Drosophila melanogaster: one gene and its partner. The gene in region 2 interacts genetically with the main gene of each other region. Each region holds a gene or a part of one and is shown on either strand. Other genes may lie near its edges.

Evidence for each region.
Region 1: of Arfip (region 2) and RhoGAP18B, changing one suppresses a phenotype caused by changing the other (phenotypic suppression), as found in Drosophila melanogaster (2 studies listed by BioGRID).

What each region holds. Positions count from the first base shown.
Region 1 is NC_004354.4:19,151,649-19,167,224, forward strand, and holds the start of RhoGAP18B (Rho GTPase activating protein at 18B), read right to left. Parts: upstream 6,554-15,576; 5' UTR 6,472-6,553; intron 3,354-6,471; 5' UTR 3,306-3,353; coding exon 1,380-3,305; intron 312-1,379; coding exon 1-311.
Region 2 is NT_033777.3:11,226,935-11,242,686, forward strand, and holds Arfip (arfaptin), read right to left. Parts: upstream 8,080-15,752; 5' UTR 7,797-8,079; coding exon 7,574-7,796; intron 7,511-7,573; coding exon 6,988-7,510; intron 6,637-6,987; coding exon 6,468-6,636; intron 6,391-6,467; coding exon 6,283-6,390; intron 6,193-6,282; coding exon 6,148-6,192; 3' UTR 5,495-6,147; downstream 1-5,494. Other genes in the region: CG17726 (uncharacterized protein), read left to right, coding at 1-189, 247-1,236; GCC88 (GRIP and coiled-coil domain containing 88 kDa), read right to left, coding at 1,307-1,487, 1,556-3,380, 3,434-3,515; CG17187 (uncharacterized protein), read right to left, coding at 3,875-4,774; Dph3 (diphthamide biosynthesis 3), read left to right, coding at 5,083-5,190, 5,260-5,334, 5,407-5,484; CG17721 (uncharacterized protein), read left to right, coding at 8,475-8,608, 8,667-8,982; CG31441 (uncharacterized protein), read left to right, coding at 9,423-9,554, 9,616-10,406, 10,466-10,568; CG31388 (uncharacterized protein), read left to right, coding at 10,935-11,051, 11,119-11,675, 12,023-12,107, 12,177-12,499, 12,577-12,693, 12,962-13,103; scpr-B (SCP-containing protein B), read right to left, coding at 13,204-13,878, 13,932-14,045; scpr-A (SCP-containing protein A), read left to right, coding at 14,262-14,381, 14,447-15,121.

The DNA of each region.
Region 1 (15,576 bases), on a different chromosome or scaffold from region 2:
TCATCATCCACGTCGTCGTCTTCCTCGTCTTCGTCCTCCTCATCTTCGCCCTCGACGGGAAGGGCTTCGATTATCTCCTGATCTACGGGTTCGATTGTCTTGAACTGCCAAATGGGTTGGTAAATGGACTCCTCCTCCTGCTCCTCTGGGCTGGAATTCTCCGCGGCAAAGGAGTTGCCTCTCAGGTTATCCTTTTTCCCTCCGTTCGGCTTCGTCTGCTCCTCTTCAATCTGGCGGGGATTGCTCAAAGATGTGTTGGGATTTCGAACGGGTACCTTTGGCGCCGGTCGTCGAACTTTAATAACGCAATTCTAAAAGTTGAGGTGGAAACATACTATATTGTCAAAACAAAAAATAATATCCTGTTTCGACTGTTGTGTTTTACTCGCTGCAATAATTGACGAACGGTGGGATATCGTTTTGATTTCATTTCGTTTCAATTATAATAAAAACATTTAAGGAAACCCCATCTTTGAATAAAGTTACGAATTTAGGGTTACTTCTCACAAACTGATAAACATAGTTAATTAGTTAGGTAATTACGTAAAATAACAAAAGTGGAGGCGGATTTCCCGATCAGCTTTTAATGGAAATTATCATTAATATGCCGCCTGCGAAAACAATGAATTACTCCATTAATAACTTCTTTGCTAGGAATCACAATATTGAACTTTTTTGTGCAGTTGTGATGGCAACTTTACTGCTTTTTACGCAAATTTTGCAATCAGTAAAAAAAAAATATTCAAAAAAATAGTGTGAAAAATGACGTTAATTAAACGCTGATTATTTTATAGTTATCTTGTGCTTTCATTGCAAACTTGTTTGTTTTACTTCACATTTTTTTCATTGTTCAATGGTTGTTTTTAATTAGATAAGTTTGTTTATTTATTTATTTTTTTTTTTCGTTTCGCTGGCCAATCGAATGTTGGCATCCCTTTCGCACGTGAACCGTTAGTCAATTTTGAACTGCAGTGAAACGTAACAGAATCAAGTACACAGAGAGAAAAGTATAATTGCATCACAATATTAACGTATTGCCCTCAAACTGTTTTTCATATATAAGAACAGAAAAAAAAGTAGGGATCAATTTTAATCGTTCCTGATTGATGTTGAACTGATTTGACGGATCGCAATTGGGAATTATAAATTTTATATTTATTTACATGCACTATTTGTATTACTTTGATTTACGGAAATCAAACCAATTATAGTTAATAAAAAAATTGGTAAAATTCAACCGTGTCAATTGAATTTTTAAATAATATATTTTTTTTTTGTGGCGCTCGTTGATACCGCCCAAACTTTTTCTCTCTGTGCATTTTAATTTTGCCTTTGATTGATGCGGCTTTTGTTTTTGCTTTTTATTAATGAGTGTTGACCTGTGTGATTGGCTGCTGTTGTTGTTGTTGCTGTTGTTCATTGACATTGCAATTGGCGTTGCCGTCGTTATTCTTGTTGTTGTTGATACCGCTTTCATTGTCAACGGTGTGATGGTTGTTGTTGTTATTGCTGATGTTGTCATTGTTGTTGTTGCTGCTGCAGTTGATGGTGTTGTTGTTGCTGTTTGTTGAGGGGCGCTCTGCCTCGCCATTTGGCTTAGGCGCTGCCATCAAAGCTCCGCTGTTGTTGTTACTGTTATTATTATTGTTTTTCTTGCTGTTGTTACTGCTAGTGGAGCTCTCGCCCCCGCACACACCCTCTTCCCTGACTATCGCTGTCCCTCTTCGCCTCGTACTTCGATTCGCGCGGCGTCGCGACGCAGCAGCAGCACACACGTCTACGCTCTCTGAAATCGCTGGCGAAACTGAAACCGAAGCCGAGGCCACCGAACGATCGTTGCCGCCGGCGAAGGAGAAGGCGAAGAGAGGCAGGCGCCGTCGCCAATCCCCCACAACGCCAACAACTGAGTCACGCGCTCTCCTTCGCCGATAACCGTTGATCGGTGGTTGTTGTCGCTGTTGTTGTTGCTGGTGCCACAGCCACAAGCTGAACGATTTGTCATAGGCGGTGAGAAAGCCACGCACACTCACGTGCAAGCTGGCCGAAAGAGCGAGACTCTGCATCAAGCGCAAGAGAGATACAGAGACTTGAGGCTGAATTGCGATTGCGACGACTGCGACGTGCTCTTCGATTGCGGCCACCTGTTGATGTTGCACTGCCTCTTTCTCTTCGCCCAGTGCGCTCAGATAGTCATTCACAAAGTTGGCCGTGATGGCGCAGCGCCGTTGCTCTCTTTCCGGCTCCACGTTGTGCGCTCTCTTCTGCTGCAGCTTTCGTTTAAAGTCCTTGACCAACTTCGCCTGCTCGTCCGCACACTTTGCACTCTCCTCCGTGCTTCTCCGCAGTGTGACCGTGCTCTCCTCGGCGGAGGATGAAGGATCGCGCGCTGGTACGCTCTTTGGCTGCTGCCACGGCCCCTCGTCGTAGTGGTGCACCTGCCGCCTCAGGGAGGTCATCCACTGGCAGATGCTCTCGTTGAGATACAATGATGAGGATCCTGATGTGCTTTCGTCCTGCAGCAGGCGAATGCGAGAGACGCGCGGCCTCTTGCGCTCTCTCTTGTGGCTCTGGCTCTCTTCGGGCTCTCTTACGCGGCCGTAGATGTGCTGATCGCTTTGGCTGCCCTTCAGTTGCTGCTGCTCTAGCTTGAGTTCGCAAATGCGCTGGAGGTCAAAGGTCTCCTGGGTGCGGAACACCTCGTCCACGTTGTGGATGATCTCCAGGGAGCCAGCGCTGCTACTGCCAGTCGTGGGTGTCCTCGGGAATATCCTGCGCTGCAGCGACGACGAACGGTTCAGCTGCTTAAGAGAGCCAAAGAGACGGGTCAAGGTCGCCGCACTGGACTTGGAGTAGCCCAAGAGCGACCGCGACTTGACCTTGGTGGGTGGTGTGGGCGGTGTGGTTGGTGTGGACGGTGCGGGCGCTTTGGCTGGCGTCTCTGACCTTTGACACCGGCACCGCTCGTTGTCGCTATAAATGCCGCGGCACAAATCGCAGATGTTCTCATAGATGTTGCTGCTCTCGCCGGAAATCGTCGAAAGGGGCGGTGGCGGTGGGGGAGGCGGTGTACTCACCACGCCCCCGCTCACGATGCACTGGCAGAAATGGCAGTAGCGTCCTTGGGCGGCAAACACGCCGTAGCCGCAACCCCGACAAAGATTCTCGTAGATCGCCTCGCGCGGAAAATACTTGCGCAGCTCCGCATTCAGGTGACCTTTGGGGGTGGAGGTCAGGCCCGGCAGATTCTCGTAGATGTGCGCCTCCATGCCGACGTTATCGTTAATGTCCTTCGCCTGCTGTGGCATCTCTCTTCTTTATTTCTTCTTCTGCCTCCCTACTTTCTCTTATCGCCGCTGCGTCACATCGTAATTCATTATTAAGTGAGAAAATAATCGCCGAGCGGGGCAATTGGAGAGATAGTAAGTGAGAGCACTGTCATCGAGAGAATTTCGTGCACCGCAAAAGAAATGTCGCGAAGGTATTTAATTAACATAAATTCGATTTGGAAATGCTCGAATGGCTCTTCTTAAATTTCTCACTCGAGTGAATTGAATAACTTGTAATCTTCGATTACTCACTATTATTTTTTGAGAAACACCCCAAAAACGACCTTAGTTCTCGCAGTGTAATCACTGAGAAAAGTCAATGGGCTTGAACTCTTTAAGTGATGCCACTACCCTCATTTTCTTTCTTTCTGTCTCTTTCCCTCCCGCTTCCGACTGCAATCAGCGATATTCATTATCTCAGCCAAAGTCGCTGCACTCTGCACTCAGTTTTCCTCCAAACCATCGGCTTTGCCTTCAAAACACAATTCTTTGGCTTGACTTTTTTTAAATCTGGGAATTTAAAGGATGAATTTTTCGAATCTAATTGCAAACAGCTTTTAATAATATGACCCTGTTATCGTGAATTTCTTTACCATTTCTTCTAATATTTACATATATTAGCTATTTTGATAAAATATTATTGGAACCCATTGCTGTATTCAATATATGTGTAACTAGACCCAATATCTCTGTATATTTCACGCCCAAAAAGATCCAGAGCACTTATCACTAATCAGTTTAGAGCTCTAAAATGAATTGTTTGTTTGCCCTAAAACATTTGATGCTTAAATGCAAATAATGTTTAAAGTAAAAAAAACCCCAATGCATTTCATCTGACTAGAATTCCACAGTGCTGCTTCTGCTTTTGAGCTTTGTTTTTCGTTGATATACGGAGATGAGTCACTAACCGATCCACCAAACCATGTCGGTCCTCTCGTAACCCCCGTCCTTATCCCTCGGACTCAAAATGATGGCCATGACTGGGTGAAGAGAGCGGAGAGGGGCGAGAAACCCCAGAGAAAACCCCGGAGAAACAGAAACAGGTTGGCGGCCAGTCGAGAATTGTGTAACGATCGTCGACTTCCTCACCTACGCCTCACAGGTGCCGCCAGGTAGATGGAATGTGGAACATGGTGTGTGGAATATGGAATGTGCTCAGTTCACACTGGCAAAAAATAGTAGCCACTGATTTTGGGAATTTAAAATATTACAAGAATTCTACAATTCCTTCTTACTGAAAAACCAAAACGGAAATATGCAAAATTTCATTTTACATATATTAATATATGTATATTCTATCTTTTTTTTTCAAGTGCACAGTTATCCCGAACGGAAGGCGAGAGTGAGCCTAATGGAGTTAAGGTGCCAAGAAACGAGGGTCCGTGCATTAATCTTTCGATCGGCGTAAGTGGGGAAATCATGTTTATCTCGATGGTAGATCTTGAAATCTTCTTCGGGGGCTTCGTATTATTCGTAATTCTTTGATCTAGGATCGCCGCCATTAATCATAATCGGCTTGGGGCGGAAAGGGGAAACCGGTTAGGGGTTTTAGGTGCTTAAAACATGTTTCGCATTCTCCAACACCACCAATTGTTGTTACAGCGTCATTTAAATAAAACTGATTCAAATCCAGTCGAGAGTAGCCTACCACCATATTTCAAAATACAACAGATTTGGATCGTTAGGTACCACAAATGTTGGTTGGTTGGTAGGTAAAAGCGTTTTCACGGTGTTGTTAATCATACTTTGGTCTAGAATCAGGGTCAATGGTCAATGGTTGTCTTGTTTGCTTGGACAATAACCTGTATTATTAATTTTCAATTCTTTATAATCATGTTTGGGTTGTCCTTTAAAAGATAATTTTACAGAACATTCTATAAGATATTCATTTCTCTGATAAAAAACACACAAATTATACAGAAACCGAATTTATTTAAATAGAAAATCTTGATTAATTACTTGCGTGATATATTAACAATCCGAGAAATAATTTAACAAAGAGCCATACACTTAATTGTTCCAAACTATTTGAATTTTAATAGCAAACAAAAGGCTTGTGGAATTCTTCATAACTGATTGACTGTGTTTTCACTAATATAATTGTTGTGGTCTCATTAGGAGCATTTCTCTGAACTAATTAGCTTTCTACAAAATAAACAATTCTTAAATTGAATCCCTAGGGTCTGAAGGTTCTGAAGCATAGTTATTAATAAATAAGTGAATAAACTATTTAGAAGCCTGACATCACTGGGCTTGTTGTTCATTTTGGAAATTTTGAAAGTATATATTTCAAATCCTTCATGACTTAAGAAATGCTTGCGATTCACTTTAAAGTGTTAAAATTTCATTAATAAAATGTTTTTATGTACTGATACGAATCACCAAAATGCAGCAATAGCATAGAAAAAATATATTGATACCGAATTCATATACTTTTTTAAAAATTTTCATTCAGAAAATCCGTTTCGTTATAAATAGCTATAAAAATAGCTGTAGCACAACCAATTGAATATTATATTTTTTAATATGATTATGATATATATTTTGTTGAACCCAATTAACTAAGTTTAACTTCAAACACTGGCAAAATACACAGTTTATAGTTTGATTCCTCAAATACAAAAAAAACAAAACCGCAAAACTTTGGTTTTTCGGGCGCCTTGGTGATAAACTTGCATACTTTTGGGCATTCGATCGAGACCTTCTTGACCCCGTCAATAAAACCTGTCCAAATTGTGCAGCCCCCAAGGAGACAGCAATGCAATCAGTGTGGATTGTGGGTAATCCGCTGATTTGCCTATGCCGATGATTCATCGCCGTTCATTTTCAGATGGCGCGACAAATGAATAAATGACGATGAATGCCATTGTAAAAGCAATATACTGTAATTCACAAGAAACACATGAGCACACACACCCATATTATGGGCGAAAGGAAGGAACAAATAAAACGGGATTGGTCCCGTTATCTCGCAGCGCTTATCTCACTTTCTCTCCAATTTCCCCAAATGCACTGTTTTATTATTAAAACTATTGTAGATCGATCGAGGCACTTGGTGGGCTTCAATACCGAAACCCGAGCACCAAAACAAAAAGCACCGATTTTGGCCAGCACTGATAAGCCGAGCTTTAAATGGGAGCATTACGAAATTGGGCTTGAGGTGGGGCTCTCCATCAAATCGGGAGCTGCAGGCGCGACGCGTTCGCGAATTTAACAGAATATCAACTGAAATTGAACTCAAGATGCCGCCGAGAATTTTCTTGGGTGGCGGTCCGCCTCGTAAGCGATTGACGTCGCAGTCGCCGCGCAGTCGCAGTCGCAGTCGCAGTCGACGCCACGAGTCGGTGGCGGTGGCTATGGCTATGGCGATGCCGACCTCCGGTCACCCAGGGAACTCGAGCACTCCACACTAGTCAGCAAAAGTGGGCACTAACCCCCAAAGCCCGCAACAAAATTTTGTTGCTTCCGATGAAAAAGCAAGTTGGGAATTATAAGCGGGTAATTTCAAATATTTCAGATATTCAAATGAAATATAATACATATATTACAGGATATATCAGTATTTTTAAAAACTATAAATGCTAACTATATATGCCAGCCTTACAAAATTATATCATCAATAAGTTTCTTTAGAATAAAACTTTTTAAATTAATATAAGATTCAATAGAAATTCTTGCCTTGTCTAATACATTTCTTACAGTTATTTACTTTTATAGGCAAAGTCTATGGATCATTATTATGACCATGACTATGGACCATTATGAGCTGTGATTCATCATCGGTGAAACTATGACTCATGTCAACCGAGCTTGAAACTATCCTTCGTACCCATGTCATGCTGACCAGTGTGGGCCAGAGATCAGTGATGGGGAGGCAAAAGCCCAGAACAGAACAGAACAGCGCAGAGCAGAACAAACCTAAAACTGAACTGAAACCGAACCACATGTGTGTAATGGAACATGGGCAACATGTGTGGCTCTGTCTGGCTGTGCGCCACCACATTCACGAATGTGCGTGTGTGTGTAAGGGTTGGGGGTGGCATGGGCTAATGAGGGGGTGAGAGGGTAAGGGTGGGGCGTGGCAGCGACAAAAGACGCTTTTTATACTCAACGCCCGTTGCCTAATTAAGCATATCGAGTGCGGTCCCTGAAGGAGGGTGGTAAAGGGGGGGGGGGTGCTGTCGAGGGTTGGGAGTTTGTTTTTCAGTTCGGCTGAGTTGGGAGTAGGGGGTGCAAAAAAAGGGGGGGGCTGGGGTCGGTTCTGGGACCGCAGAGGGGGCGGTGCTGGGCGGGTGGATCGAGCTGTGTAAGTAACCATGATGAATGCTAAACACTGTTCAATTTATGCACAACAGTTGCGTAAACCGATTACGATATGCATATACATATGTACATACATACTTTTGCTCAACACTTTATTGCAAGCAATTCCGATATGAAAATGAGAACTGCACTTTCAGCACGAACCGTAAGCTCTCTTATTTCTTATTGAATTTTGAAACCAATCCTCATAATCCTGTTCCTCATAATACTGCTCGCAATCATGTTTTGAAGATCCATATAGTACACGACCGATATTTACAAAAATCGGAATCCATATAAAACAGAACCGGGAGCAAATAGAGAAAGAAAAGATGAGGATGCATCTTTGGGGAAAAAACAACAATTCCGGGGAAGAGACTTAAAAAATAGGCGAATGAGAGTGAGACTGAGAATGAAAATAAAAATAAAAATGAAAATGAAAATAAAAATGAAAATGAGCAGAGGCCGGCGAAGAATCGCATTGCAGCCGATGTTCAGCAATATGGTCGCTTGATCTTTGAACTAAATTAATTAAGCACAATGAACACAATTGTTGTTGTTGGCTTCGCTGCCGACGGCATCAAATGTATCCACCAGATACGAATACAAATACAAATACAGATGCGGATACAAAACAACAAATACGCACACATACCGAAATAAAGAAATGCATTCAGGCTGTGACCAACATTGCATTCAACTGTTTGCTATCGGCTACCCTACATACATACATATGTACTTTTATGTATGTATGTGTATATGCAGGAATATACCAATAAATCATAGGGTTTTCTAGGGTTGACTAAGTGTGGGATTTACACTATAGATTTAATATCTATCTTAAAGCACGCCACCACATATGAGTTTTAAGTGCATAAATTGAAACCCAAATATATTTAATATATATTTATTCGGCTAATAAATTATGAATTATATCTCGGAGTAGGGCATTTAACATTCGCAGTGCTTGGTAAATTAATTCCTGAAGAACATATTTCTCATGTTTTCGCTTTCAGTTTCCATCTTTTTTTTTTTTTTTTGCCCCGACTCATATTTGGTTTGGCTTTTCTGCGGGTTCCTCGGCCGCCTTCTTTTCCCGAAAAAAAAAAACAAACGAAGAATTAAAAGGGGTGGCCCACGGCTCATGGCCCGTGGATGATGGTTGATGGCTGATGGCCCTGTCCAAGTCCCGTCCATGTCCCAACCAAATCCACAGCCCCGTCCCCACTCACATCCACATCCACATCCCTGTCCAGAACCAGACTCGCGTCTTTGGCAGCATTATGTTTCCGTCGGTAATGAGTTGGCAGCGACTGCAACTCAGTGTTGTCGAGATCCGACAGTAAAAACCCGATGGATTCGAGTAACAAGTGCATTTCAATATTTCAATGTGTATATAATAAGCCTCAATATGCAGTTATGATAAGCGGAGAGATTCTATACAATTTTATCTAATCTTAAATGTGTAGTATATCCTAAATGTATAATAATATCTAATAGTGTGCATAAATAAAGTGTATTTTAATAATAATTTTAATTTTTAATATTTTCAGTTGGTTTCTGAAAATGCAGAAAACTTCATTCTCAAATAATTTGCAAAAGATTAAAAAAAAATGCTATTTCTTGACTAGCAATTAAATAGTTGGAATGGCAACTCTATTTCTGCGTTGAATGTTGCATGTGGCTGTATTGGTGTTTACTCCCCCTCCCCCAATACATGCATCCTCTTCACCCCCCTCTCCACTGAGTTCACTTTATGATTATTATTGTTGGACGGCGGTCTTCTCCTTTTTTAATGAATTTTATTAAGCGCGACAGCAGCAGCAACAGATAGATCGAGTTGAAAAGAGGGGAGTGGGGAGTGGCTGTGTGTAAGTGTGTGTGTGTGTGTGTGTGCTGGGTGACCGAAGCCAGCAGCTTTTGTCAACGCCTCAAAAGTAAAGTAAAGAGCTGCTGGTAAAATAATAAAAATACAAAAAAACTGCCTTAATTGGTACTTTTTATTGACCATCGCCTGTGACTCATTCGATGTTTTATACCATTCAAGCATGAAATCTAATCCGATGAATTAGTCAATAATTGATAAAATGGAAAAACAATTTGCGTAAAATGGTGTGAAGTATGCAATAAATATGCACTGCATTTGTAAGTGCTTTACGCCTCTTAATTAATAGCATTTAAACGATTGTGTGGCTAATGAGAAAAGTGTGAATTAGAGAGGGCCTGTTCAATATTATGAAATTAGTTTTGTTTTTTAAAAACGCAATAAACCTTACACACACACAGAACCTTGTAAATTTTGAGAAACCGTTGCATTACTGTGTAAACTATTCCCGATTTTAACCATATTTCCCTATCAATTGCTTGGTCAAAGAATTGAACTGAAAGATATTAGTTTTCGAAACGTGTATTTATGCATTTTGCAAACGTTCGTGTTGACAGGAACAGAAGCTTGAATAAGTAAATGAAAATTGTTGTTTCCTATATAATTTTGTTTTCGATCAATCCTACTTATATGTAAGTAACACCAATTTAGGGAATGAGCCCGCTTCTATATAGCTCATCTCCAGACTTTCCTATCAGTAACACACTGCCGAAGGGCCCCCGAAACTTGACTCATAGACTCACAATTTGAGATAAAAACCTCTGAGATACAAATTGTGAGAATTCAATGACGCACGCGAGAGGGGGGGGGGGGGGCAGGGAGATAACGGAAGCTGAAATTGGAATTGGAATCGGAATACGTAAACGAGTACGAATTCGAATTGAAATGAGAATGTCAGCTCAAGTGTCAATCAGACGACGACAATTCTACTTGGCGCTGCATTAACAAAGAAAAAAAAAATTAAATTAAAAGAGAAATTTCGAGGCAAAAGTGCGGGGCAAATCAGAGCGAGAAAATGAAATGCATAAATAAAGCCAAATGGAAATAATGCACGCAGAGTATCTATGTGACCGACTGGGTACGTGTATTTGTGCCCGTTGTTGACTGATGACAAAATTGTTGCACTCGTCAGTCAGACGAACCAAGTGATAAGCCTCTGCACAGCAAAAAACAAAAGGCATTCAGTTGTTATTAGGCATTACAATTTACACATAGCAAAATTTCGTTACATAAGATGCATTCGGTGTCTGAAAGTATGCAGCAATATATTTCTAAGACAAAAGATAGATACATGCGAGAACTCGACATACTAGTGACTCCATCTAGCTAATCTAGCTACTTGAGTAACTTAAAAAATATTTAATGCGATAAAGAAATAACACGTATTTTCTCCCGGTGCATGTCTTTTATGTTCCCTCATTCGCATCAGAGAAATTCGCTTGACAATTGCTTGCTAATGAGACCCAGCTTATAATGGTTATATTCTATTTTTCCTGGTTTCATTTCTTTCCCCATTTCGCAATGCAAAAATCGCTGGGAAAACGCGCCCGAATCGCTGCCAAGTCGCGCGCAACACGCATGCGCAGCTGCACTCGCAATTAGTCGCCAAGTTGAGCGGCACAATGGAAATGAAAACGAAAACGAAAACGAAGATGGACTAAAAGATGATAAAGTAGGCAAAGGCGAATGGCAAAACACGCAACGGAAAACGAAACAGACAAAAGCTCGAAATAAGACCATGCGCAATGCATTTTGCCATTGCATCAGTGAGAAAACCGCATGGGTTAAGGGGGTTTTAGGGGGTTAAGACGCTTTTCGGATGGCACAATGAAAGCCCCTATGCCATTGCAAACGCCATGCCAAACGATATTCACACAAGTCCATGATGTTACTAACATTGATTTATGGTAGTTATCAAATAATGTAAATGTAAATGTAATAATGTAAAATTATGTGAAAATATGCACCCAGTTTGCCAGGAAACAGTTTTCCCTTAGCAACAAAATCGTTTATATATATATTTTATCCCATGAAAATGGGTCACTAAACTTGCCCAGCACGGCTGCAATGTAATCAACAAGGTTAAGGTTACGAAATATGTACATATGTCCATATTTTTATCGCATTCTTCGCACAAACGGAAATGTAAACACTGATGTACATACATATACACGATGTGTTTTTGATATAAATGAACTTGCTTATATGCCCATGACAAGTATGATTTATTGGCTAATTGGCCAATGGTTTTTTATGGATTTCACAGTTGTTCACGTGGGTCATCTTAGTTTAATGATACAGTTTCCAAGCAAGGTTTTACTCTTTACTGCACGCACATTAATACGAAAAGTCGTGTATTAAAACAAATTAGTTATCAAAATGAGTTGATCTTCAAGCTAAGCGATCTGAAGGACGCCGAGATGCGCCAGTGGAAAATGGATTTTCACTTTCGGACCCAACGGAACTCTTTCGGAACCCGTTCCGGTCTCACTTTCACTGGGAATGCAAATTTCATTCCGAACCCTCCAATGAAAGACCGCTAACGGACCGTAAACGGGTTTAAATTCATGGGCCAGGGAAATCCTATGGATCGCCGATAAATAAAGCTGATACACGGATTATCAGTCGAAGATCAGTAGTTGCAGCTTTTTCGGGGAAATTCAATCTCGGCTCTATTAGGGCCTCCCCATTCACATTTATATGGACTTTTAAAGAGGTATTACCAGTGATTAGCATTTTTGGATCTCTCTAAGGTAGCTGGATGTGTCATACAAAGTGATCAAATAAATAAATTACGAAATATCAGTTTTCGTACATCACATAGGCTTAAAAGTTAATGATTGATTTAAAGTCAACTAGGATGGACTTTCTTGGCTGATTCTCCTCTTTGATGGATGTCTTGATGGATGGGTCTGGTTAATGCCATTTTTGAAAGGCGTTTGCTACTCCCCACAAATTGATGCATGTTTCTAGGTGAGATTGGACTTACCCTCAAGCCGTTCTGATGGCGATGGTTGGAGGTCAGATCCAGCATGGAACTGGCCCTTAGCTTCTGGTTTTGATCCGCACTGGCAGCTGGAACCGGCACTGCTGGCACTTCGGGAGTCAGGGCTTGACCTTTTGCCAACTCCATGTCCTGGCCATGATACGGATCTGGGTTTCCACACTCGCTGCAGGATATATTCTCCGCCGATCGCGCTGATCTGCTAGCCAGTGGCGACAAGGATGCGGTGGATGATCCCGCCGATGCGGACGCAGTTGTGCACGTGGAGATTGTGGGCGATGTCGACGTCCATGTGGCTGTGGGTGGTGTTATGCTGGTGAGCGTAACTGTTAGTTGGCCGATTCCCTCGTTGTTGTTCTCGATGGTGTTGTTGTTGTAGTTGATGATATTATTGTTGTTGTTACTGCTGCTGCTGTTCGTATTACTCGAGTTTTTTGCATTGGCGTAGAACACCTGGGATATGCTGCGAAATATGGTGCGATAGCCCCTTTTGTTCTCCGTATCGCCGGCCATGATCACACTGTGCAAAAAAAAACTAATAAAAAAAAACAAAACAGATATCACACACTCGAAATCTGCACGATTCTGCTCTTTCCTAATTCTTCACTCTTTCACTTTAAACTCATTGGTTTATGGTTGCGTTTTGTTAACTCTTTTGTTTTTATGGCGTTTTTGTGTTGTGTGGGAGGGATTCACTGAAAAGAAATTGGGTTGGTTGTGGGCGTCACGTTTTTGGGTTTGTACAAATTAGGTTTTTTTTTGCATTTTTAGTGGAACAAATCGTTTATAGGTAAGTCTCGTCACAGTTTATTTCATATTCATGTACGAGCAAGTGTGTAGGATCCAGTGAAAGAGTGTACATATATTAAATGCCTTGTCAAAGATTGCACTTTTTTTGCTCAGTGCACTTAAACGAAACGTGAAAACGTCGGAAGAAAGCCAAAAGCATGAGCAACGCGTCCACTTCTTATCACTTTTCTGCGCGGGGGAGTGTTTCTGGGGCCACACAAATCAATAATTTTAATCGTAACACCCTGGAAAATATCATAATTACACGAGGCCAGTGGAAATGGAAATGGAATGGCATGGAATGGGGACTAGACCATGGCGACCATTCGTATCGAAAACTGAGAATTGAAGCACACGGGAGACGCGTTCGGGCAGCGGCGGCCAACTAAATCGTTTCGCAGCGTTACCGCCTTCAAGCGCCACCGTTACCTTACCGCCAACGCCGACGCCGACTGCGACGTCGACTGAAGCAGCAGCGGCTGTTGGCGTAATCGTTTTTCTTGCCGCTTTGGCTGTTGCTTCTTTTTTTTGCAGACTTTGTTGGTCTTTTTCGGTTTTTGTTTTGTTTATGGGGCTCTTCTAGGCGCACAGTGGTTGTGGATCCATTTTATGGCTGGCAAAATACTGTGAAATCGGAACTATATCCTGTTACGTCCATATGGTCCTTCAGGCGGGATAAGAAAAAACCCTTTAATCACCATTTGTGGACAATTCCTTTCATTTTTTGTCTCGTTCTTGATGTTTTTATACTAGTTATGCTATCGAACATATTATTGATATTTATGGAAATTAATATCCCCCACATACGACATACATTTCGTTATAAACAAGTTTTAGGTAAGCTATTAATGGTTATAGAAATTTTAATTTATTGATTTGTCGGAACATGTTTTGAAAACCTCAGAACCCCAGACTTGACAGTGGAATATTGATTTTTTCCAGCGACCACTGTAGCCCATTATGAGTGTTAACTTTTTTTTTTTATTTATTTACCCCGCTTCGAGAGCTTTCTTCGCCTAGTCTGCATGCAAATCGAAAAACAACAATGTGCGGCATTTTGTATAGATCGAAAACTCGTATCCAGATGCCAGATGGAGAACAATAGTGACACAAATTGGACAACGAAACAACAACAAAAAAATGATCAGAAAGGGAACTTATCAATCACAACTTTCACCGAAAATAGCCATTCGGAAACAAATAAGGCAATAATCCGCGGCCAGATGATGCAATTCCACTGTGCGCTTAAATGTTTTACACACTTGTCGCGGAGTGTTTATCACTGCCCACCGTTGTGTTGTTGCTTTTATTGCCATGGTTGTTTTCGCTGTCGCTTATCACGCGCTAAAATTTGTGTGTGCGATGTGTGTGTGTGTGTGTGTGTGTGTGTATGTCACACAACACGCATAGCTGCAGTCAAAATAATAGTGTCGAGCATTTCAAGCAGTGATAATGCAACTGCTCTGGCTTTCTTCTGTTGAGCAGCCCCGATTAAAGTGAAATAAAGATAGTGTTGCTATGTATATACAATGTAATTTTTAAGACCATATATTAAGTCGCAAATATTTGGCTATCAGATAATTCATGCACTTAACAAGTACGCGATAGGTTATTTTCAAAATCGCTATGTGCGAAAAAATATTAAATTAGCTTGAACTTTTCTTACTATTTTTATTCGGAAACCTATTTAGGCAGAGCAATTTTCAAAAAATTATATCAAGTTTACGACTTGAAATATGACTTAAAAGTTACAGTTAGTTAATATGTATTTTATCAGCAAAACAACTTTTCTCAGATATTTTTTTTATTTTGGAAATCCCAAAACTCTACCCACAGGTGTGTGGCAACTGTTTGCTCTTGATTTTGTATCTCAGCAGAGCCAATTACGAGTGCGTTACTCACTGGCCAGCAGCAAGTGCATTGGCAATTCCAATAGCTGACCACTGATAGCCGACTATTGATGCAGTGGCAAAGATGCAACAGCAAGCGCATCTGCAAACGTCACGTACGCGCCTCAATTAAATGCATCGCATCACATTAAAACAACTCAAAATCAGCTCAGAATCAACAGCAAATCAACGAAACCGAATGGGCAAATCGAAAGGGACGGCGGTTGACAGGCGACTAAAAGCCAAATCACCGAGCACAAACTACGGAGCGACTAACTGTGGCCAAGTGGCACACTCAAAGCCCAAAAACACGGCGGCAACTGCAAATAAACAAAAAATCAGAAACCGAAAACCGAAAAAAAAAACCGAAAAGCCAAAGCA
Region 2 (15,752 bases):
GAGAGCGGACATGGCAGCCTGGCCAAGCAACTGAGGGCCAAGATTCTGTCCACCGGACCCATTCCTGTGGCCGAGTACATGCGCGAAGTGCTGACTAATCCCCAAGCTGGCTACTATATGAACCGGGATGTGTTCGGCAGAGAGGGCGACTTCATAACCTCCCCGGAAATATCACAGATCTTCGGAGAGGTGAGATAAGCACATTGATCAGAACCTGTCATCATAACATCATATCCCTTTGCACAGCTCGTGGGAATTTGGCTGGTGAGCGAGTGGCGCAAAATGGGCAGTCCCTCGCCCTTTCAACTTGTGGAGCTCGGTCCGGGTCGCGGCACACTGGCCAGGGACGTGCTGAAGGTGCTCACCAAGTTCAAGCAGGACGCCGAATTCTCAATGCACATGGTGGAGGTCAGTCCGTTTCTGAGCAAGGCACAGGCACAGCGCTTCTGCTACTCCCACCAAACCCTGCCGGAGGACGCACAGTTGCCCCATTACCAGGAGGGCACAACGGCCAGTGGAACGAAGGCATTCTGGCACCGTCGGCTAGAGGATGTGCCCCAGGGATTCTCCCTAGTTCTCGCCCACGAGTTCTTCGACGCCCTGCCTGTGCACAAGCTCCAACTCGTAGATGGCAAGTGGCAGGAGGTGCTCATCGATGTGGCATCCTCTGATGGCGCACAAGAAGCTAGCTTCCGATATGTGCTCTCACGTAGCCAAACACCCGTTTCGAGTCTTTATCGACCGCTGCCCGGCGAGACACGATCCTGTTTGGAGCACTCCCTGGAGACGGAACGACAGGTGGGACTGCTCGCCGAGCGCATCGAACGGGATGGCGGCATCGCTCTAATCATGGATTATGGCCATTTTGGCGAGAAAACCGACACTTTCCGGGCCTTCAAGCAGCACAAGCTGCACGATCCGCTGGTGGAGCCGGGCAGTGCTGATCTCACGGCCGATGTGGACTTCAAGCTAGTGCGGCACATTGCCGAGACACGCGGAAATGTCCACTGCTGCGGTCCCGTGGAGCAGGGACTGTTCCTGCAGCGAATGCAGGGTGAGGCTCGACTGGAGCAACTGTTGGCACATGCGCTGCCCGAAAACCAGGAGATCATTCGCTCCGGCTACGAGATGCTCACGGATCCAGCCCAGATGGGCACTCGCTTTAAGTTCCTGGCCATGTTTCCCGGCGTGCTAGCTGCCCACCTAGACAAATACCCAGTCGTCGGATTTAGTTAGTTATCTATTTAGGATCTGTTTGTAGGGTTTTAAATATGTTGCACATGATTGTTGAACAAAAGTACGAATGTTATTTCTTCTGGAATGATGCATTGATCGCCTGCATCTCTGCGGCGGTGAACTGGAGCACCGCCGAGATGGCGTTCAGCATGTGACGCTTGCCGTCCGCGTCCCGGGTAACAATGTAGCTGATAATAACGTTCTTCAGGTACTCCAGATTGGCACCCTCGCGCGTCTTGCAACGTTCGAGTCTAGAATGGGAGTAGAGATCGTGGCATGACTTTCTAAGACAACAACGATAACAACGACAACGACGCACCTGTCCACCTGCTCCTTGAGGCACTCGATCTTCTCGTGCATTTCCTGCTGAGATGTCACCTTGTCCTGGATCGCCTTTCGCAGCGTCGACTCGGCGGCGTATTTGGCTTTCCGCAGTGTCGTGATTTCGATGTCCTTGCGCGCCAACTCGTTGGCATAGTGCAGCATGTGGCAGTTCTCGCCCATCGACATTTTCTTGGAGCGCACCTTTAGCTTTCTTTCCCGCTGCTCCCCCTCCACGCTGTCGGTGTCGGAGGAATAGTGAAAGGAATCGGCAGCTGCTTCAAGTGTGGGTGTGGCCAGTGTGCTGCCCACACCGCTGGCCGAGTGAAAGACCTCGAAGGAGGTCTGCAGTGTCTTAATCTCCTGCTCCTTCTCATCCAGCAGCTGCAGTGACCTCTGGCGCTGCTTCTGCAGTAGCTGTTCCAGCTCGTTCAGTTTGCAGCGCGTCTCGTTCTCCAGTTCAGCCTTGGCTTCCTGCCACTTGGTTCGTTCGTTCTTCAATGCCAGGCGCAGCTTTTCGCCCTGCTGCTTTAGTTCGACTTCCGCCTCGTCGATGTTGCGATTGAGCACCTGCACCTTCTCCTGCAGCGTTTGGATGTGCGAGTGCTGCAGCTGCACCTTCTGTTCGAGTAGCTGTCGCTGCTGCTTGGATGCCTCGAGCATTTGCTGCACACCCTGAAGCTGTTGCTCGCAGTGGGCGTGACTCTCGACTCGGGTAGCTGTTTGGCCGCTAAATGATAGGATCTCCCCGAGATCCAGTGGATTGGCAGAACGGGCATTGGCTGTGGTAAGCAGTTTCTTCAAGCGCACCATCTCGTCAACCAGCGTGGCTACGTCCACATCTTCGTTTAGCGCCCTTGAATTGGATGTTGGACGCACATGTGCCTGCTCTAGATCCTGCAGCTGCTGCTTCAAATCATGGATGCTGTCCTGATCTTGCTGACGCAGGCGGTCGTAGCTGCCGACAGTGGTGCTGAGCTCCGCCAGGCGTGCCTCTAGACTGGCCACGCGATCCTCGTGCAGCGCCGCCTGCCTGCGACTCTGTTCCTCGGCACGCAGCACGCGACGCTGTTCCTGACGAATGGCCACTGCATGCTGCTCCTTCAGTTGCTGCATCTCAAGGCGCACTTGCTGAAGGAGAGCGGCGCTGTCCGCACTCGCTGACGCTGCTGCAGAGTGCTCGGTCTTGGCCTGGAACTGTTTCAGCTGGGAGCGAGCCTCCTTTAGCTGGGATTGCAATTCCCGTAGCCGGCTATTCTCTGCCTCGTTGCTGGCGAACTGGGTCTTGAAGTTGTTTAACTGCATCTCAATGTTGTCCTTTAGATGCCGCTCGTCCGCATAGAGTTTCTGCAGTTCGCGGATCATGAGCATTTGGTTGTTGGTCTCTTTCTCGCGCTCCTGTCGCTCCACGATCCACTTGGCCTTGATCTCGTCCACGTCGCTTTTGGCCCGAGCAGCCTGCTCCTTGGCCCGGGTATTAAGCTCCTGAATGGTCTGCTCCTTTTGGGCGATTTGGCTGCGCAGTTGCTTTTTATCCGCCTGAAAGGAGGCCTCCATGCGGGATTTCTCAGCGGAAAGAGTGGCCAGCGAGTTCATCAGGGTGATAATTTGGGTCTGCAGTTGACCCTCGGCCGGGGGAGCAGGCGGACCCGGTGCAGCGCCCTCGGTTGCTCCATCCGCAGAGTCGGTGCTGGTTTTTTTGGACTCCAACTCCCTGGCCGGCGATCCGGACTCGCCCACCGCCGTGGCCTCCGCATGCGCCGCCAGACTCGTCTCCAATGCCTCCTTCTCCTTAAGCAGACCCTTGTAGGCAGTGACCACGTCTACAAATTGGGCTCATTAATCCATTTGCATTGCGAATTCATCTATGTCTCACCTTTTAGACGCTTTTCATAGCGCCCCAGTTGCTCCTTTTGGGTGGACACCAGCGCCTCCAGCTCCCTCTGTCGCTTCTCCATTTCGCCTTGAAAGGGAATTAGTTCATTTACTTTCAGTTCGCTTAGTAGTTCAATTTATTTATCTCCCGTGTCATTTTTGCATTTCTTTTAATTAACAAATTTCAGCAGCTGGCACGCGGGCCTGCCAACTTGTCATGTTTGCTCAGGCACTAAAAATTGCCATCATTCTGATTTAAACTTTTTTTTATTTTTGCGGTTTTTCAAAAAATAATTAATAACCAAATTTACATAAATTAAAAACTATTTTAAATGTAAATGTATTATAAATCAGCTGCATAGTTGCTAAATTGAGATATTTTCAAACATTAATATTAGTCCAATTAAAGTAAATTAAATGTTGAGCCTAACTAAATCTTATTTCATTCGCCCTCCTCGTCCTTCATCATCTGCTCAATGAGTCTCTTACGTTCCTCAGCTTGGCGCAGCTTTCGCATGACCAGGTCCTCGTAGTCGGTGGATGACGCACTGCACCCAGTGGTGGCCGATTTGGTTGTCTGCTTGTCTGCCGCCGGCGGCGTTACCCACTCGAAGTGCAGCGGCTTGGCGGGATCGCCTTTTTCGTAGGCCAAGACCATGTCGCAGGCTTCGCGCGTGGCCAGCTCCACCATGGCGCGTCCGCGTCGCTTGCTGTTGACCACCAGGGCCACCACGTCGCCGTACTTCTTCAGATACTTGAGCAGCTCTTGCTGTGTGTAATCCTGGCCAGGTTCGGCCTTCCACTTCATCTTGATGCGATGCTGGGCGGAATCAAACTGGACCGGCTGTTGCTGCAGTTTCTGTTGCTCCGCGTGATTCCGCCGGAACTGCTCCTGCATGGCTCGCTGCTCCTCCTCCAGCAGACGGGAGCCCTCGCGTCGCAACCGCTCGATCTGCTCATGCAGCACCTCCTCGTCGCTTTTGGCCACCGTGCTGTAGGGTTGGCTCTTCGCCAGTTTGTGCAGTGCCGCCCGTTCACGTTCCTCCAGTTCCAGCTTCAGCTTCTGCCGCTTCCCGTCCAGTTGGCGACTCCTCAGCTCCGCCGCCTTCTTGGCCTTCAGCACTTTGTCATAAGCTGCGCGCGCGGATTCATCCGTGAGGATCTCCAGAGCCTTGGACAACTCATGGAAGCGCTCGACTGCCTTCGGATTGTCCGGATTCTTGTCGGGATGGCACTCGAGGGCCTTCTTGCGGTACGCCTTGCGTATCTCATTTTGATCAGACTCGAGAGAAATGCCCAGAAGATCGTAAAGATTCACGTCACTGTACTTTTTGCTAGCCATTTAGTCTTATTTTACTCCTTATTCAACAACTGGAACATGGGTTTGTTTTGCAGTTTGTCTTTTTTGGGCAAAAGTTAGCTAAAATATACTATTTTATACGAGACTTATTTCACAACTGCAGCCGGCGGTCCAAAAATGTCCAAATAAAACATTTGCAATTGTTTACTGGATCAGCTGTTCGCTGCAACGAGTTGGCAGCCCCGCAACACAACGTGCCCATTTGTTTGGCGTGGATTAATCTAAGTTATCGCAAAAAAAACTCAAATATAATATGACCTTTAGGCGCTGAATTAAGCTGAAGGTACGTCATGAGCATCTATCACGACGAGGTGGAGATCGAGGACTTCGAGTACGACGAGGAGGAGGAGATGTACTACTATCCCTGTCCATGCGGCGATCGATTTCAGATCTCCAAGGTAACGAGTCGTATACGCAACCTTTTTTTTTCTGGACTCCCCATATCACTTGGTAAATTTCCACTTTAGGAGGAGCTAATCGAGGGCGAGGAGGTGGCCACCTGTCCCAGCTGCTCCCTAGTCATCAAGGTCATATACGATCCGGTAAGTGACTCATTCAGAAATACACCTAGAACTCCCCAGAAAACTCAAGCAATCTGATTTTCCGAATTTCAGGAGATGTTCAAAGCTGAGGAGGATGAAGAAAGTGCGCTGAACGAGAAGCTCGGCGACCTGAAGCTCGAGAAGAACTAACACACAGTTTGGTGTAATTAAATAGTTTTTATTTATATATTTTTATATATATATAGACTTCATTTTAGTGTAAATAATACGATGACTAGTAAAACAATGATTTCAAATTATGCAAGCTCGCAAAAACAGTTTCGATTCGTTATGGATTATTCGTTTTGGGTGAATTACAAAGGATTTATACACACATTCTAGAATATCTAAAACTAAAACACTCATATTGCACCGAGTACACTTTGTTATATATGTTTTACAAGCGCGGAGGACAACAATATGATGATAATCGAACGAAAATTTGGAAACACAAACAAGTTAAAGGAACGTCAGCGTACCAGCTGTGGAAATGTGAGTAGTACAGCGAGTTACATACAATGGAAAGCGGTTGGAAAAATATATAAATAACATACACCTACCACTCTCACTTTCTGCTTACGGCTTAGGAATTCGACTTAAACTTAGCACGAAAATATTGTTATGGTTCGCCATGCAGTGTTTCTGTCCACTGCATCGCATACTGAATCATCTCTGCCACCGATCTTTTCCTTTTTCTTTTAGAGAGCGTGCTCGTTCAGCAAATGAGTGGAGGTGGACGACGTGTCCCGATCTCCTCCAATATACGCGCCTAAGTGCTTCGCGAGTGAAAGGGACGAACTGCGTCTACTCGATCTACTGCTCCAGCCAGGATCCAGTGACGGCATTGGGTGACTTAAGCTGCGGGCCACAAGAGGAGAAGTGAAAAAGTGAATGTGCGAACGAAGTTTAATGGGAGCACTCTGCTCCCATGTTTCCATGCTCACTCACCTTTATGTTGAACTGCTTCAGAGTGCTCTCCAGTGCCATGGCATTGCCCGAGAAGTAGGCAGCGATGGCATTGTGCAGCAGAATCAATTGCTTGTGCATCACTTTAATCTATCGACGGATAAACGGATTGGATCAATGGTTAGTCTCGCTAAATGCATAGGTAAGATCCATTTGGCACCACTTACGCGATTCTCGTCGAGAAATTGCATTTTGACGGCCACGTCCGAGCGCAGCTTCTCATATTGCTCCTTGTGCTGCGCATAGCTGCGCTGGGTCTCCTCAAGAGCGACGGCCGAGGGCGTCAGCTCCGGCTTGGTGTTCTCCAAATCCATGCGGTAGGCATCGAATTCGATTCTAAAAGGCAGGAGGACATTACTTCTACTACATATAATTCTCATGCCTTTTTATGAAACATACGATGGCTTTAGGAAATAAAAACTTATTGCCATTGTAGAGATTATCATGGAATGCGGTTATGACTAATTGATCCAACGTATTTAAATTTTTTCAAGGAAATAATACGATAAGCAATGTTTCAAGCTTGTATACAAGGCTAGTTTAAAATGCATTTCTGATAAGAGCTGTGTGGCACAACACTTTTTATAAAAAGCCACACACATGCTGAGTTTAAATTAAAATCGAAGAGATCGATGATGATTTTTCCTTCGTTGTTGCACGACAATGAAAGGATATAGCTTTGGTTACCTGGCCGTTTCGTACTGTCGTATCGTCAGCAGCGTATCGTCGATCGTCTTGTTGCACAGTGTGTTCACCGACGAAATAAAGAAGTTGAGCGCATTAAGCAGCAGCTCGCCGTTCTTGGTGAGATTGCGCTGCGTCTCCGAATTGCACGTGAACTCTTTCTGCAGCTCGGGGTTCTTCTGGGCCAGATCGGCGAAGGAGTCGGCCAGGGCGTGCTGTGTGACGACCACGTGCTGGAAGTGCGAACTAAAGGCCCGCGTTAGCCTCAAGATGGACAGATACTTGCGCTGCGTCTCGCGCAACTGCTCTATCTGGGCCTCCAGTTCCGAGTCCACGGTCCGCTGCGACTTGCCCAACTTCTCCAGCATTATCTGTCGCGTACACTTGTACGTCGATATACTCCAGTTCTTGAGACTGTCGATCTTGGAGGCGCTAGTGCGTATAATGCTGCCGCTCCCGCTGTCCGTGGGGCTCAGGATGCCGTTACCGGATGGTGGACTACTGGGCGACATGGGTGTGGTGGGTGCTGCACGAAAAGATCGATGCTGAGTCAGTTGGTCGCTAAATCGAGGACTCGTAAATAGTTCACCTGAATGGTTTCTTAGTGGCAGGCTGCTGGGGGCGCCAAAGGGGCCGCCGACACCAACTCCAACGTTGCCGCCACCACCTCCTCCGCCGGCGATGCTGTGGCTGCTGGCGCTTCCAAGGATCCCGCTGCCGCCTTCGGTGCCCGTGTGCACCGCTCCGCAGCTGTCGTTCAGCGAGGGCGCATCCTTCAGCATTTCGTGAATGCTGCGCTCGCGGTCCGTCATAGCTATGGCCGTCGTTAAGTTAACCGCCCGTCTCACCGAGTAATTGCCAGCGGAAAATCCTCCTGTCTGCCCGTTTTGTGTGGGGGTGTGCCCGATTAGGTGTCTGTGTGTGTGTTTCTCGGGCAACGGCGCTGGAGGTTTCACTTCGATTTCCACGCCGAAATCGATGGCGCACGCTGGGCGAGTCGAGACTTTAGTAACCCCTGCCTGGACTCGTCAAAATTCTCAAATCCCTAAAATTCCGCATAAAGTTCATCAAACTGTGTTCACGAACTGAAAATCGGTGTGACTGTGCGCGAGTAGGTGGTTAAATGCCACACTTGGACTGCTTGGATACCGGCTGTGCGACACGGTATTTTAAAGGCGGAACGGTGGAGTTTGGAACACGGGGAAGTCCTGTCCTGCAGGTCAAGTCGGTGGGACGTGGTTTGGCGGGACAGTGACTGCTGCGAGGACTCTCCTCTGCGGCACCAGCATTAATTTTTAATTCATTTTCATATATATTCTTGATCATGATCAATAGGCCAGTTGATGTGGCCAAGCAATTCTATTTGGATTTTCAGTGCCGACCAGTTGCGGTCCCACTAAAGTGGAAATTTGATTTAATTTTTGGGGATTTCATGGAAAATCTCTACTTATTTCTATTTCCACGTTACTTAGGCCAATAGCCAGCGGAAAATGGTCTACGTGAATCTAATAATAGGCTTGGGCCTGGTGTCCGTTGCCGCTTTCGCCTATTTCAATTGGCATAACGACCGCAGTTCGCCTTACTCCAGGTGGGTGCTATTAAATGAGCGTCGAATCGTGGGCAGGTTGGTGCCTTGCGATTCAAAGCTAAAATGTTGGCTTAAATCCCTTGTTTCATTGCAGGTCGCCGAATGGCAGGTGCACCTTTTGCCAGTATGAACTGAGTGATGACGACCGGCGCCGCATGAGGTGTGGACATGCCATGCACAATCTCTGCTACTTGGTGTTTCGCTATTCCCATAGAAAGTGCCTCGAGTGCGATAAGGTGGTTAATGTCAATATAGCCGGTGACTTGTGCACGATTTGTTTAGATCCCCTAAGTGTTTACACCATGGTGTATCTGCGCTGCAGCCACGCCTTGCATGAGAAGTGCCTCCACCAGTACCAGGCTAATGGTGGCCGCCACTGTCCGGTCTGCAGAATGGGAATTAAGGAGTAGGTATCACCTAGTGATCATGCAGCCAGGCAAAGCCATATATCAGCATAAGCGTGCACTTAATGCAAGGCTCAACGAATTTTATATATAACATTAAGTCGAGAGCAAAGAAGTCTGATTAAGATTTTAGTTCTGAAACGAATAAAAGTTAGATTTCTTAAAAGATGCCGATTTCAACCAAATTGTTGTTTAAAATGAAAGAAAAGTATTGGATGCGTCTATGCTTTTTCAAAAAAAAAAAAAATAATACAATTTTATATTTTTGTTTTGAATTGTTCAAATATCGTTTAGCCAGTGTGTACACACCACGCACATGCACTTAGTAAACAGACAACAGCTGATGTGCATCTTCATTATCTCGCTTGCCATTCACTTGAATGTAATGCATCACAATAATGTTGAGTTTTAAAAAACCTTTTTAAATATCGTTTGGTTTGCTCAAAATGTCTGAGTTGCGATCGATTTGCCGAACTTGTGGCAAAAATGTGACCAATTTGCAGGGTCGGGCTACCAAACTGTTCAACAAAAGCAACTATCACTTTATTAGTATACTGGAAAATATCACCGATATGTATGTATGTAAGTGAATAAAACTAAAGTATGCTGTCTATTTAATTGATTTAAATGATTGTTTAGCTCGAATTTGACACCACTCTGCCACATCTAATTTGCCAATGTTGCAAAGTGCAGCTGGACAGGATCTTAACATTTCGCAATAAGTGCTTGGAGGTCCACAAGTCTTTTATGGCCGCTAACAGGAAACTTTTGCGAAAAAAGGCGATAGTTGATGAGGAACTCGATAAACCGGATGTTGAGAAGCTACAGCAGGATTTGTGGGACCACACGGATCAGGAAATGTGTGTAGCAATGGCAGATACAGCTGGGCTTCTGCGGGAAGATCACAATGATAATGAGAAGGCGAAGGACGCAGAAGATGCGACTCAGAATGAGAAGAATCAGGAGGAACAAGTACAAGTACAAACAGAGGAGGTGGAGCACTGTCAAGAGCAGCTCCATAACATGTCCATCATCTCGAAGGGAGTAAGTGCCCGTGTCCCCAAGCGTACGAAGCGCAACTCCAAGTCCTGGTTCTGTGACCAGTGCGGCGGCGTCTTCAAGTCCTCTACCTACCTCAAACTGCACCTGCAGCGACACAGCGGTCACAAACCGTTCGCGTGCGACATCTGCCAGGCCAAGTACTACACGGATAACGAGATGCGGCGCCACAGAATCCTTCACACGGACGCCAGACCGTACGCTTGTCGGTTCTGTAGCAAGACCTACCGAGGATGCAGCAGTAAAGTGGTCCACGAGCGGACCCACACCAACGAGCGTCCCTTTCAGTGCCAGCATTGCGACAAGGCCTTCACCTCCACGTCGACGCGTCAAAAACATGAGATGCTGCACACTAATCAGCGGAAGTACCAGTAAGTAGGAGCACTAGCTGTCCTCCGTAAAATATGTGCAAACTGACTGTATTTTCCAGCTGCGAGATCTGTGACCAGTGGTTCCTGCGCTCATCCCATTTGACCCTACATCAAAGCACTAAATTACACCAGCGAAGAGCTGAAAGTGCTAGGATTGTCTAGAATTCATGTGGACTGCTGAAAGTACAAGTTTATTATAAGATTCCTAAATTGAACAAATTGATTCTATTTTTGATTTGATGGTTCTAAAAGAAGAAATAATCAAAATGTACACCTGTGACATCAAAGGTTTTCGACTTTTCGCTCTGCAGATACAATGGTTTATTTCTTGAAAAAAACTTGTAACAACAAATTGAGATTTTGAAAATCGGCGGAATGGCCGCGTTGCTGGGCGAATGTCAATTCGAAATCGACTATGCGTGGGGCTGAGAAATGCGAATGCCGCTTTTCTTGTTCTTCCGTCCAAACAAACCGAAAAAGATACACTTCCAATCGATCGGGGTGCTGCGTTATCTCATTACACAAGCCATGAGGTACATTTGCAGGACCTGTTCTCGTATGGCTGATCCTGCGGTAGCCAAGAATCTCTTCGATCCATCGAGTTCTTCCGTTTTGCGTCAAATAGAGACTCTAACTAACTTGCAGGTGAGTGCGTTAGCGTTTTGCGAAAATAAAAACCGAATAAATGCCGCGATCTGTAATCACTTTGCAGCTAAAAGAGGACGGCAAGTTGCCCAGGTTCATGTGCCAGGACTGCCAGCACGACCTGCAGATTGCCATCGATTTCCGCCGCGTTTGCATCGAGGCCCAGGAGCTCCTTGAACTTCAGCTAAGGCAGGTGGAAAAGGAGGAGGAGGCGTTCGAGAGCCTGGCGGAGCAATGGCTGGATGATTGTCCGGATGAGTTGTCCAACTTGTCGCCAGTGCTACAGCTGAATGATCGCATGGATTTTATCTTCGATCCCGAGCCACAGGATAAGAATACGGATGAGTTGGCTTCCATAAAGACCACGACAACAACAGAGTATATGAATGCATACCAGTCAGTGGCCAGTCCGCAATCTTCTCCAGAACTTTCAACAGATAGCCAGTTGTCGAATGAGCACTTTGACATGGGCCTCTCTCCCGAATCAGAACCCGAAAGTGAAGCTATCGATAATCGGGACACTTCCTCCAGCCACACGTGCAGCAAGTGTGGCCTCGAATTCGAAAACGTGGACGAACTGAAGCTGCACAAATACCATCTGCACGACATCCCGCCAGATACCAAGTAAATAATCATATTTTAGAGGCATGCTTGCATGATTTTCCCATATTATTCGTTCGAAACTTGTAGAAATCCTAAAAGATCTGAAGACGTTCCGTCAGGGCACAAAATATGTTTAGTTTACATTGCTAAATTGGCTATTAGCTAGCTCTCACATTCATTCCGTATTAATTGTCTTTTGTTTTAATTTTTATTTAATTTTAGAACGATTTTCCATTTTATACGTGCTGCTCTGATTGGAATTAAGGAATCCTTTAAACCCTATCACTGAATGACTAGAACAACTTATTCACAGTATGAGAGAACCTACCAATCAATTGCCACAATTAACACTTTAATTATCCTTGTAGATTCGTCTGTGACCACTGTGACGAGGGCTTCCGATCAGCAGCCGCACTTACGCGGCACTGCAACATGATTAATCTTCCATTGACGGTAATGATTCCATCTAAAATGTTCAATACCTTTCATAAAGGATTGTATTTTGAAACATTTTTTTTGCAGCACTCCTGCACCAAGTGCAAGAGCCAATTCCACAATCACATTCTGCTGGAGACTCACAAACAGCGGTGTCTCAGGCCGCCGGCGTCCCAGCATGTGTGCCACATATGTGGCAAGCATCTGACCACGGCCTTTAATCTGAAGAATCACCTGGTTCGCCACGCGGGCACACGACGCCACAAATGCGACCAGTGCAGCGCATCCTTTTATACAGCCGCCGAACTCTGTTCCCATCAGAAAACCCACACAACCGAGCGTCCCTACATCTGTCGCTACAACTGTGGCAAAACCTTTCGCTTTTGCAGCGCCCGCAGCATGCATGAAAGGTAGAATTTCAGACGAATCTCCACCGTCACTTAGCCCACCATCCCCACTTACGTGACCCTTCCAATATATTCCGCAGGGTTCACATGGACGCCAGCAAGCGTATCTACCAGTGCGAGTACTGCCCCAAGTCGTATGTAACACCCAGCGAGTGCAGGACACATCAAAAGTATCACAACTTGACTCGCGATCACGGGTACGACTTCCTCCCAGTTCTTAAGTATTTGCAGAGAATGCAAATTAGAAGGATTTCCATTATTCGCAACTAAATAACGAATCTATCTTGCATGTCAAACGTATTTTTTGTTTTATATGCAAAAAACGATTGTGTGCCTATATATTCCTATAAAATATCAGCAGTACTCTGTTGAATATGATATGCTGCAGTTCAATGTAATCAAATTACTTTTTTGAAGCCTCATGCTAATGAGTAAAACATTTTTTTCACCCCCAATCTCTTCCAGCTGCGAAATCTGCCGCATAAGCTTCAAGACAGCCAAACACTACAGATCCCATCTGAAGTCCAATGCCCACAAAACTCTGGAGGCGCGTGCTAAAGCTGCTGCATCCCCCAATTCCCGTGGAAGAAATTGTTCAACGAATTGAATTCATTATTGCCAGTTGCATGTTAATTATATATACCGAATTGATATTAATAAAGCTTCCGTTCCGCGTTCATGTTTAAGATCCCAGCATCTACTATCACCTACATCGTCTGTGTGTTCTCGATGACCTTCTCGTTGTCGTAGATCTCCTTGGCGTAGCACAGATTGGGGTAGTCGTAGGCAGCTCCATATCGGTTCTTGCAGCCGGTGGTTGCCTTCTCTCCCGGAGTGTAGACAGGCTGACCCACAATGTTCGATGTGGCGAAGTTGCAGGTGAGTACGAAGTGGTTGTAAAAGTCCCGGGAGAAGCGCACGGCCGCACATCCCACATGGGTGTTCTTCTCGGCCACCGCGATGGTGAACTTGGTCACCGCCTTGTTGGGAAGCTCCTCCGGGAAGCTGGCGAGGATCTCGGGAGATGCATTCGAGCGCTCAGCAAACCAGTTCTCGATCTGCTCCTTTATTATTTCCGCATCGGTGTACTCTGTCTCGGCTCCGCTGTACTGGAACAAGGCGTTGTTCTGGCCGGCGTAGGCGAATCTCTCGGTGCTGCGACATTTATCTGGCAGGGACTCACAGGTCTTTACGTTCAGCAAGGCCAGATGGGAGAGCTCCTCGCACCAGGACATCTTGGCCATGCGAACAGCCTTGGGTAGTCCTTCTATTTTGCCTCCAGCCACGTTGTTGCGCAGCTCGTTGAAGAGATTGAGGATGAGTTTGTGATGCGGCTCGATCTTCACCTCACGCACGTCCTTGGGACAATTTTCACTGAAATTCTGGGCGAGAATGGGTGAGCACCAGCAGGTTTTGGCCAGCTATCACTACTTACTCCCTTGTTGTTGCAGGCTATGTGCTTGTCCAGGCACGTGGGCAGAGCACAATAGTCCGCTGCAAGGCTTATTCCCAGCAGGGAAGTAAGCAAAATCAGACACTTAATGGCCATCTTCAGCGTTGGTTTTGGACTGAGGCTTAGCTACCCAAAGTACCCTATTTATAGGATAGCTGTGGCAATCGAACCGCAGTTGCAACATGTTTTCCAGTATTTTCGCAGCTGAGTTTCCAAGAATGTCTGGCCAGGAACAAGTGGCTGAGCTCAGTTCGAATGCCATATAAAAGCAGACCCATCTGCTGTCCAATCCAGTAGCCAAGAACTAGCATCATGGCGTTCACCAAGGTTCTCCAATTGATTCTCCTAGCTGTGGTTGCCATTTCCTCTGCCGTCGACTATTGTGCTCTCCCCACCTGTCTGGACAAGCATGTGGCCTGTAACAACAAGGGAGTAAGTTCTTATGTAAACCAAATTCACAGGAGTTCGTATTGGTAATGTCCTAAATCCCCATCCAGAACTTCAGTGAAAATTGTCCCAAGGACGTGCGTGAGGTGAAGATCGAGCCGCATCACAAACTCATCCTCAATCTCTTCAACGAGCTGCGCAACAATGTGGCTGGAGGCAAAATAGAAGGACTACCCAAGGCTGTTCGCATGGCCAAGATGTCCTGGTGCGAGGAGCTCTCCCATCTGGCCTTGCTGAACGTAAAGACCTGTGAGTCCCTGCCGGATAAGTGCCGCAGCACCGAGAGATTCGCCTACGCCGGCCAGAACAACGCCTTGTTCCAGTACAGCGGAGCCGAGACGGAGTACACCGATGCGGAAATAATAAAGGAGGAGATCGAGAACTGGTTTGCTGAGCGCTCGAATGCATCTCCCGAGATCCTCGCCAGCTTCCCGGAGGAGCTTCCCAACAAAGCGGTGACCAAGTTCACCATCGCGGTGGCCGAGAAGAACACACATGTGGGATGTGCCGCGGTGCGCTTCTCCCGGGACTTTTACAACCACTTCGTACTCACCTGCAACTTCGCCACATCGAACATTGTGGGTCAGCCTGTCTACACTCCGGGAGAGAAGGCAACCACCGGCTGCAAGAACCGATATGGAGCTGCCTACGATTACCCCAATCTGTGCTACGCCAAGGAGATCTACGACAACGAGAAGGTCATCGAGAACACACAGACGATGTAAATGCTTTTTCGATTCTTAGTCCATAATTAAGTTGGCAAATAAAAGCTAAAAGAGCTTATCATTTGAAATCTCGGCCGTTGATTTTATAGTTTTAGGATGGGTTTAAAAATGTTGGCCCGGATAGTAAAAAAAACGTATGGGTGGTTTCTTTTAGTCTAAATTGATTTATTTAAGTATATCATATCATGCGAGAGGTATTTATCATCTTGTCGTCTGCTTCGACAGCTTTCGTTTGGATGTTCAACTTGTACATTAAAACACACAATATCACAATCTTACGCAGGTTTACAAAACTGTATCTAATGTTGTGGGCTTGAACGCTCGGGAATACTTGCGAGAGTCCTGCCCTCCAGTGATTCTATCCAAGTGGATCGGTATGAACCATGATGATGCAATAAATAGAGGGTCTGATTGCTTATGTGTAAGTGATCTAGCCGATGTCATCTTGTGATTTTTAGAGAGGGACGCCGAGCAATCAGATGGTCTTTAGTTAGTCAATGACTTTGTGCTAAAATTAAGAGTAAATCAAATAGGGGAAATAAATAAATCAAAACGTATGAAAACTAAATAGACAGTCATGAATATGGGAATATGCGTTTCAGTGAATGTTAATAGACATGTGGAAACCGAA